Linked DNA regions of Caenorhabditis elegans. The protein of the gene in region 1 interacts with the protein of each later gene in a pairwise test. Each region holds a gene or a part of one and is shown in the gene's direction. Other genes may lie near its edges.

The links.
Region 2: the proteins of F40F9.3 (region 1) and dlat-1 interact in a two-hybrid assay, tested with the Caenorhabditis elegans proteins (one large-scale study listed by BioGRID).

The regions. Positions count from the first base shown.
Region 1 is NC_003283.11:9,713,355-9,716,933, forward strand, and holds F40F9.3 (PDZ domain-containing protein), read left to right. Parts: upstream 1-1,854; 5' UTR 1,855-1,912; coding exon 1,913-1,987; intron 1,988-2,029; coding exon 2,030-2,261; intron 2,262-2,363; coding exon 2,364-2,539; intron 2,540-2,584; coding exon 2,585-2,839; intron 2,840-2,886; coding exon 2,887-2,976; 3' UTR 2,977-3,027; downstream 3,028-3,579. Other genes in the region: F40F9.10 (tRNA(Phe) (4-demethylwyosine(37)-C(7)) aminocarboxypropyltransferase), read right to left, coding at 1-91, 140-223; str-188 (Seven TM Receptor), read left to right, coding at 3,343-3,510.
Region 2 is NC_003283.11:14,444,823-14,449,145, reverse strand, and holds dlat-1 (Dihydrolipoyllysine-residue acetyltransferase component of pyruvate dehydrogenase complex, mitochondrial), read left to right. Parts: upstream 1-1,855; 5' UTR 1,856-1,858; coding exon 1,859-2,072; intron 2,073-2,131; coding exon 2,132-2,858; intron 2,859-2,925; coding exon 2,926-3,378; intron 3,379-3,427; coding exon 3,428-3,557; 3' UTR 3,558-3,823; downstream 3,824-4,323. Other genes in the region: fntb-1 (Protein farnesyltransferase subunit beta), read right to left, coding at 1-196, 331-527, 752-1,063, 1,110-1,268, 1,318-1,404; F23B12.4 (ShKT domain-containing protein), read right to left, coding at 3,945-4,069, 4,117-4,267, 4,322-4,323. UniProt on the Caenorhabditis elegans protein: The pyruvate dehydrogenase complex catalyzes the overall conversion of pyruvate to acetyl-CoA and CO(2).

The DNA.
Region 1 (3,579 bases):
CAATCATATCTCCATGCTTTTCCCATTTCTTTGGCAAATCTCTCTGCATTTCATCGTCCCACAACGACTTGCTCAATGCTAACTTTCTGACCTTAAAACTGAGAATTTAAATCCACATCACATGCTACTACAATCTTACATCTTCGAGCATCTGGCCGAAGTTTGATGCTTTTGCCAGGACACCATCACTCGTCTTCCGTCGTAAACTGGACGTTCTCTCCATTGAGGTTAAAAGAAGAACGAAGTCCGGCTGATTGGTGGGTAATAATAGAATTGATCTGTGTGAAGATAAATGAATGATATATTGTGATGGGTCGAGGAGAAAAAATACGTAAGTGGCGATAGACATATAGTGAAAGCGCAAGACAATCTTAAAACAATATTCAAGACAATAAAGAGATACACGATTTTAATATGAAATACTGTGAAGCAGTCTTTCTTCAAGAAACGAAGTTGTCTAAAATTCTAAAATATCATGAGAAAACAAAGAAATTAAGCTAACTTCTCTGATTCAATCTACTCCTGAAAAACTCTAAGATCAATCAGCAGACCCTACATGTGAATGAATCAGTGATGTTCATTCAGCCCATTTTCGTTGAATGGTTTCAAAATGGGCGGAAATTCCGTTTTCTGTGGATTTTTAAAAATTATTTCCCACTTTTGTAATGTTTCAGGATTTTGGACGATTTTGAGTATTTTATACCAATTTCATTTTTAAAGTTGACATTTACAGAATGTTCAAAATGTTATGGTTTACCATACGCCGTTTTCGATTTTATGGAAAAAAAGGAGCTTTTATAGCCAGATTATAAAACAACTATGGAAACTGACAAAACTTCAACAAAAGAACACTAATCCTAAAAATACAATGAGGAGAAATCTGAGATTCAAGAAGTATCCGGAACATTTTTTGGATAGAAAGGAACGGATCAGAACAAAACAGTGAAACCGAATCCCCATCATGGTGTTCTCTATAACATCGTTTTTTTTGAGGCGCGAAAAGCTTAGCGTGAAGAAAAAACATGGTTCTCTCCCTCTTTCTTGTGGGAGGTAGTGAGACATCTTTCGTCAACTTCTCCCGGGAGCTCAATCTCCTCCCCGTCGGGATGTGGCAAACAATAGAAAGAATAGAAATCGAGGAGATCACAGACAACTATTTCCAAGTGTCTCATTTTGTTGCCGAAGGGATGGACCTTAGGATTCATCTGCGTCTCTTCGAGTGACCACAGTCTATTAGATAAAGCGCACTCGTTATCAGTGGGCAAAAACACTTGATGGATATTTAAAAATATATTAAAAAATTTGAATTTGGAAGCAGATAAATATTACCAGTTGTGTTTAAATACATTGCTGGCGTCTTTATTGGTGTTTTAACGATATTCTCAAACACGAAGTTATTGCCAATAGTTTCACAATGGAACAAACTTCAATTCCTAAGAATATGATAATCGAAATTCTAAAACATTATTTTAAAATCCGAGAATAGAGTAATGAGTTAGCACGAACAGTGTTACAACTTCTTTCATCAGTTTAATTGGTTTTATGAGTGCTATCAGCGAAAAAATATAACACGGTGTGCAGGGTTTTTGGTATTATGTCAAATTTGTCCAATTTGTAAAAAATATTGGCCGTACAAGTTCTTAACGCCATTCTAGAATTGTGGAAAATTTAAAAGTGTCCTCATTTTGAAAAACTACTAAAGTACAGTAGACGCACTACATTACGGAATTTCCGTAACTTTCCAGAACAACTCATTGAAAAAAATCTTCATGGAATTTAAATTTGGCACGATTTTATCAAATATTCATAAGTTCACGTTTCCACATATTATTTTTTGCAACGAATTTTCCAATTATTGTAATTCAACGTAAAGTTGTTGCTAAACAATTTATTTCTCAATTCGCTAGAAAAAATGGAAAAAGGTGCACCGCAAAACAATGCTGACGAGGAGGCAAAAGTAGAAGTTCCACCTCCAGCTCCGAAAACCGTAAGTTGTCCAGATCGAAACATTTTGTAAAAATGCATTTAGACATCCGCCGAGAGAGCTCCTGAGAAAGTTTCAGCCGAAAAAGCTCAGGAACAAGAGAAATCCGCTATGGGCTCAGTGCCGATTCCGCCAGAAAGAGAGAAACATATTAAAGAAAGAAAGACCGGATACGAGTATTCAATTGTTACAATCAACTACAAGCCTGGAACGAAGTTTGGATTGGGAATCAAGAACGTCTTCAACAAGAGTATCTATGTGATTAAAGTTGAAGAGAGTAAGTTATGTAGTATTAAAATAAATAACTTGAGACAAGAAGTGAAGAAGGAGAAACAGCTACTTAAAAACAAAAAAAAAGAGAACAATAGTTTGATTGCAGATTCACTTGTCAGTGGAATATTCAACGTGGCTGATCGTATCATTGATGTTGATGGGGAACCAGTGTATGACAATGCAAAATGCAAAGGACTTCTTGTCAAAGCATTGAAAGAGAAGAAAGTTTGCACGTTGTTGATTGAACGAGGAATCACTGAGAGTGCATTGAAGGATGCTACTGTTAGGTTTTAAGAACATTTGGATAATTTATTTAAATATATTCAGAACGAGATGAATGAAGAGCACACTCAATCTGTCATGGCCCCACCTGATGTGAAGAGTATCATGCGTAAGCTTGAAGCTCACAATTTCCTTCGTAAATCTCCATCTTGTGAAAGTGCGGCTGCTCCAAATCCAGTTCCCAGTGCAATGACGAAAAATAAAGAAGGCAAAGGAGAGAGAAAGGCGTGTATTTTGGAAGATGGTCACAAATCTGTCATGATTCGTATGGATAACGAGGAGAATCGAAACAAGCTCAAGGTATTCTGAAATTTTTAAGCACATTTTGAAAGAGTTTTTTTTTTCAGAAAGTGGAACCCAAAGAGCCACCGAGAAGACTTGATCCTAAGACTCCACCGAAACCAGCGGCACCTGAACCAAAACCGGAAGGAAAATAATATATTGAACTTCAATGCCTTACTTTAGAATGAATAAATGGTTCAATGACATGTGTTTGCTTTTAAGTCTTTAGTATTTGGAAATATGTTCTGAAATTATGATAAAGCCATTCTAAAGGTTTTATATAAGTTTGAAAAATTTGATTCAAATGTTTAATTAGTTTTTGATCACTTGTATTATTTCCTTCAAGTTAACCAGGAAGTAAGTTTTAAAATCAGAAGCATCCGTTCTCGTGATCACAAAAATCGTTTTTATTACTGGAAAGACAATGATTCTCAAAGGACATTGTCTAGTCAAACTATGCTAATATATATTTTGGATCTGTCTGTACCCCAATTCAGTTCGGACGTTTATTTCTGGAAACAATGGTTTACCAACTGACTTGCACCGTTATTTCTTTGTTTCTCAATTCAATTCTCATATGTCTGATCTGGAACAAGTCACCCGCGCAAACAGGAAAATATCGATGGCTCATGATGTACACTGCATGCTTTGAAATATTTTGGGGAATATACGATTTGCCTGCAGAAATTGTGAGTTTAAATTACATCAACAATTTTCCAATGTTTTACTAACAAGAAAACCGCAAGTTTTTCAAATGT
Region 2 (4,323 bases), 4.7 Mb from region 1:
CGCCTCGAAAAGACCTTTCTCCAATGATCGGCCTTCTCGTTCCATTTCTCCGTCCAAAAGTGGGAAGATGGCACCTTGCCAGAAGCTGTAGCATCCATCAACAAGTTTATTTGTTCTTCCCTGGAAACCACCCTCAAATCGCATCTGCCGGCGCGTGGCCCAACGAAGGAGACCTTCCATATCAGCAAGACGGAATCTGGAAATCATCAGGATCAATGATCTTATTTCAAATTCTGAACTAACTTAATTGATATGATTTTATAAGAAAGAACATGTGGTGTTCACGTGATGGTCTGTCTCTTCTCATTTTCAAAGATAACAATAACTGACCTGTTTAACAGAACCAACGAGGCGACCGCGCAGAAAGTGTATCCTCCGTGTGCCTCTGTATACGGTTCTCCTCCGAAACCACCTTCAAAGCTCTGGCAGCTGATAATCCATTCGGCCACACCATTTGATATCTCATCCATAGGTAGGCCCACAATCTCGCATGTTGCTAGTGCACAGTAGGCGCTTCTCATATCGATCTGGAAATGTTCAATTTTCGATAGCTCAGAATTTTTATGATATCTCTGGCAAAAAAAACAACACTAGAGGCAATTCGTAGAGTGTGCAGCAAGGATCCTAAAGTTCTATGCAAGAGTACGTAGAAGTTTCACTCTGAGTAGGACTTCATCAAGTCTATGCAGGAGTTTCAGTACATTTAGAGCTTTTGAACCATTGCCAGAGATATTCATTAATAAATTATTACCTCTCCTCCCTCGTGCATATAAAATCCTCCGCTCTCATGCTTGCACTTCTTCAAAAAATTGAACAGTGTGACTCTGTTGATAGATCGTAGAGCTTCTTCTTTTTGTAGAGACACTAGGCACATGACAGCGGCATACGTTGGAGCCAAATGAGCCAATTGTCCTGGTCCTCCACCATAGCCACCTTCTGGATGTTCACAAGATTTAAGAAAAACAATAATGTTTTCGATAACATCGTTTGGAATTTCTGCGTCCAAAATTTTAAGTGCATTAACTCCCCAGTAGCACATCCATGAACGACTAGCGTCTAAGGTCTAAAAATTGTAATGTTAAAAACCACTTCTCACAAATCAAACTTACTGCGTAGCTCGACGGGCAGTTTTTGAGATATCTGAGCAAATACGAGGCATGTTTCTGACGGAAAATCGTCAATTCGGCGAGATCTTCGTCGCTTGTGGTCTTGAATGGTTCTAACACCAGTGAATTGTAGTTTTCGAAAAGCATTGTTTCAATACGTTTCTGAAATACTCATAATCGTACATGATAATTACATGGCGGGGTTACAAACCTGTTCAGTGCTTGAGTAGGTGAAATTATCATCGTCGTTACACTCATATTTCTCGTTGAACGAACGGAATGGGATCGAAGATGTCATCTCTGTTATAAAATACAATTTTTACAAAAAGAACACATTAGAAAACACACTTCTCTTGGGAAAACCTATCAAAAACATTTTTTTTCGTCGCGAAAATAAAAAAAAATCGGTGTGATAAACAAGGCGCGCGTGTTTAAAACGGAGTGTCGTTGTCCCCGTCTAATTTTTTCTTTTCTCATTTTTCTGAACACTCTTTTCTGATCAGGAATTCTGACGTTTTATCAGTCTGTGATAAAGTTTTTAATCAGTTATTGCAACAAAAACTCTACGAAAATCAGGCGAGTATGCAGAAAGATGATAAAGTTTTCTTGTAAATTAGCTTTTCATTCCATTTAAAATTTAATAACTTTACAATTTTATATTCTTTATTGTTGTTTGCAAATGTGTATTAAATATCTTATTTCTACGTTTTCTTACAAGTATAATTTTGTTTAAACTGAAAAATATTCAGGTAATGTCGAAGTTCCCGGTGCCGTTGAGAACGATTGGTGGGCTTCGTCCCTCGACAACAGCAGCTATTTCTGCCGCCAACATCGGTTTCACACAATCGAGTCGGGCCCTCAGCACCGGAGCTGCCGCCAAAAGCTCAGGACTTGTTGGACAAGTAGCTCGCCAATATCCAAATGCTGCAGCTTTCAGTATTAAACAAGTTCGCCTTTATAGCAGTGGTGAGACTTTTTTCCTATTTATATTTTCCAACTGGTTGTCCACTAATTCCTTTTTTCAGGAAATCTGCCAAAGCACAATCGGGTAGCTCTCCCAGCACTTTCTCCAACTATGGAACTCGGAACTGTTGTAAGCTGGCAGAAAAAAGAAGGAGATCAACTTAGTGAAGGAGATTTGCTCTGCGAGATTGAAACCGATAAGGCCACTATGGGATTCGAAACTCCGGAAGAAGGATATCTTGCCAAGATTCTCATCCAGGAAGGATCGAAGGATGTTCCAATTGGCAAGCTTCTCTGTATTATCGTCGACAACGAGGCTGACGTTGCTGCCTTCAAGGATTTCAAGGACGATGGTGCTTCATCTGGTGGATCCGCTCCAGCAGCCGAGAAAGCTCCAGAGCCAGCAAAACCAGCCGCTTCATCGCAACCATCTCCCCCAGCACAAATGTATCAAGCACCATCAGTTCCAAAGTCCGCACCAATTCCACACTCATCATCGGGAAGAGTTTCTGCTTCACCGTTCGCTAAGAAACTTGCTGCTGAAAATGGCCTTGACTTGAGCGGAGTTTCTGGAAGTGGACCAGGAGGACGTATTCTCGCTTCGGATCTTTCCCAGGCTCCAGCAAAGGGCGCTACTTCAACCACAACTCAAGCCGTATCTGGTCAAGATTATACCGATATTCCACTTTCGAACATGCGTAAGACAATTGCTAAGAGACTCACCGAAAGCAAATCAACGATTCCACATTATTATTTGACCAGCGAAATTCAATTGGATACACTTCTTCAGTGAGTTTTCTTAAATTATTAAAACAATAAACCCGAGTCTTCCTTTCCAAAAATTACCCTTATTCAGGGTTCGTGAAAAGCTCAACGGTCTTCTTGCAAAGGGAACATCGGGACAAGCCACTAAGATCTCAATCAATGACTTTATCATCAAAGCTTCTGCTCTTGCATGTCAACGAGTTCCAGAAGCCAACAGCTATTGGATGGACTCGTTCATTCGTGAGAATCATCACGTCGATGTTTCTGTAGCTGTCAGCACCCCAGCCGGTCTTATTACTCCAATTATCTTCAATGCTCACGCTAAGGGACTCGCCACGATTGCCTCAGAAATTGTAGAATTGGCGCAAAGAGCACGCGAAGGAAAATTGCAGCCTCATGAGTTCCAAGGAGGTACTTTCACCGTCTCGAACCTCGGAATGTTCGGATCTGTATCTGATTTCACCGCGATCATCAACCCACCACAATCATGCATTTTGGCTATCGGAGGAGCATCTGATAAGCTGGTCCCAGACGAGGCTGAAGGGTAAGAGTTTTTAGGAAATTTATCGAGTTATATAGTTTTTGTATTTCAGATATAAGAAGATTAAGACTATGAAGGTAACATTGTCATGCGATCACAGGACTGTTGATGGAGCTGTTGGAGCCGTCTGGCTTCGTCACTTCAAGGAGTTCCTCGAGAAGCCACACACGATGCTTCTCTAAACGATGGCTTTTTCATTGTTTCCCAATTCATCTCACCATCTTCCTCTACCCATTTTGACCCCCGAATTTACTCCGTAAAGTCTCGAAGTGATAGCGTATAACTAGGTCATAATTTTATTATTTCTTTCTTTCTTCACTACAGCCATTTTCGCTTTTATTTTTCTCATTTTTCATGGCATGTTTCCCAGTTAATCGTTTAATTTCTCCGGTAGTATGTGTAAGTGAATTATTAGAAGAAGTTTCCTTTAAAAAATGATTTATTATTTTTGTCTGTCATACAGAAATTTCAGAAACTCGTAGTGTGTTTGGAAAAGCCTAGCGGATCTTTAGTAATAGTGAGCAAAATGTTGAGAGACCCTAGGAAACAATATGCTTCAAGAAACGAATTCAATGACGACGACACAGTCCGCATGTTCTTGCGCAGAACGCCGTTAAGTATTGCTGATGGGATGGTGAAGCACAGAACTGACGCCACTGACTGCATCTTCCTTGAGGATCACGATCAGCGCATTCTGAAGATTCAAAAAGATTCGACAATATCCTAGATCTAGAAACATACGTCCGCCACCGAAAGCCGGCTGTGGCTGCTGGAATACATTTTGCCGCTGAGCAGCAAAACTGTTACTCTGTCCACGTCTTCTTGAAATGAACACATTTTGACGATTAAATGGAGATTGTGGCTGTTGAGCAACAATTCGCTGTCGTGGACGCTGTAAAATTGCAATTATAATATAGATCAGAGAGTAAAAGAAAATATAAAATACCG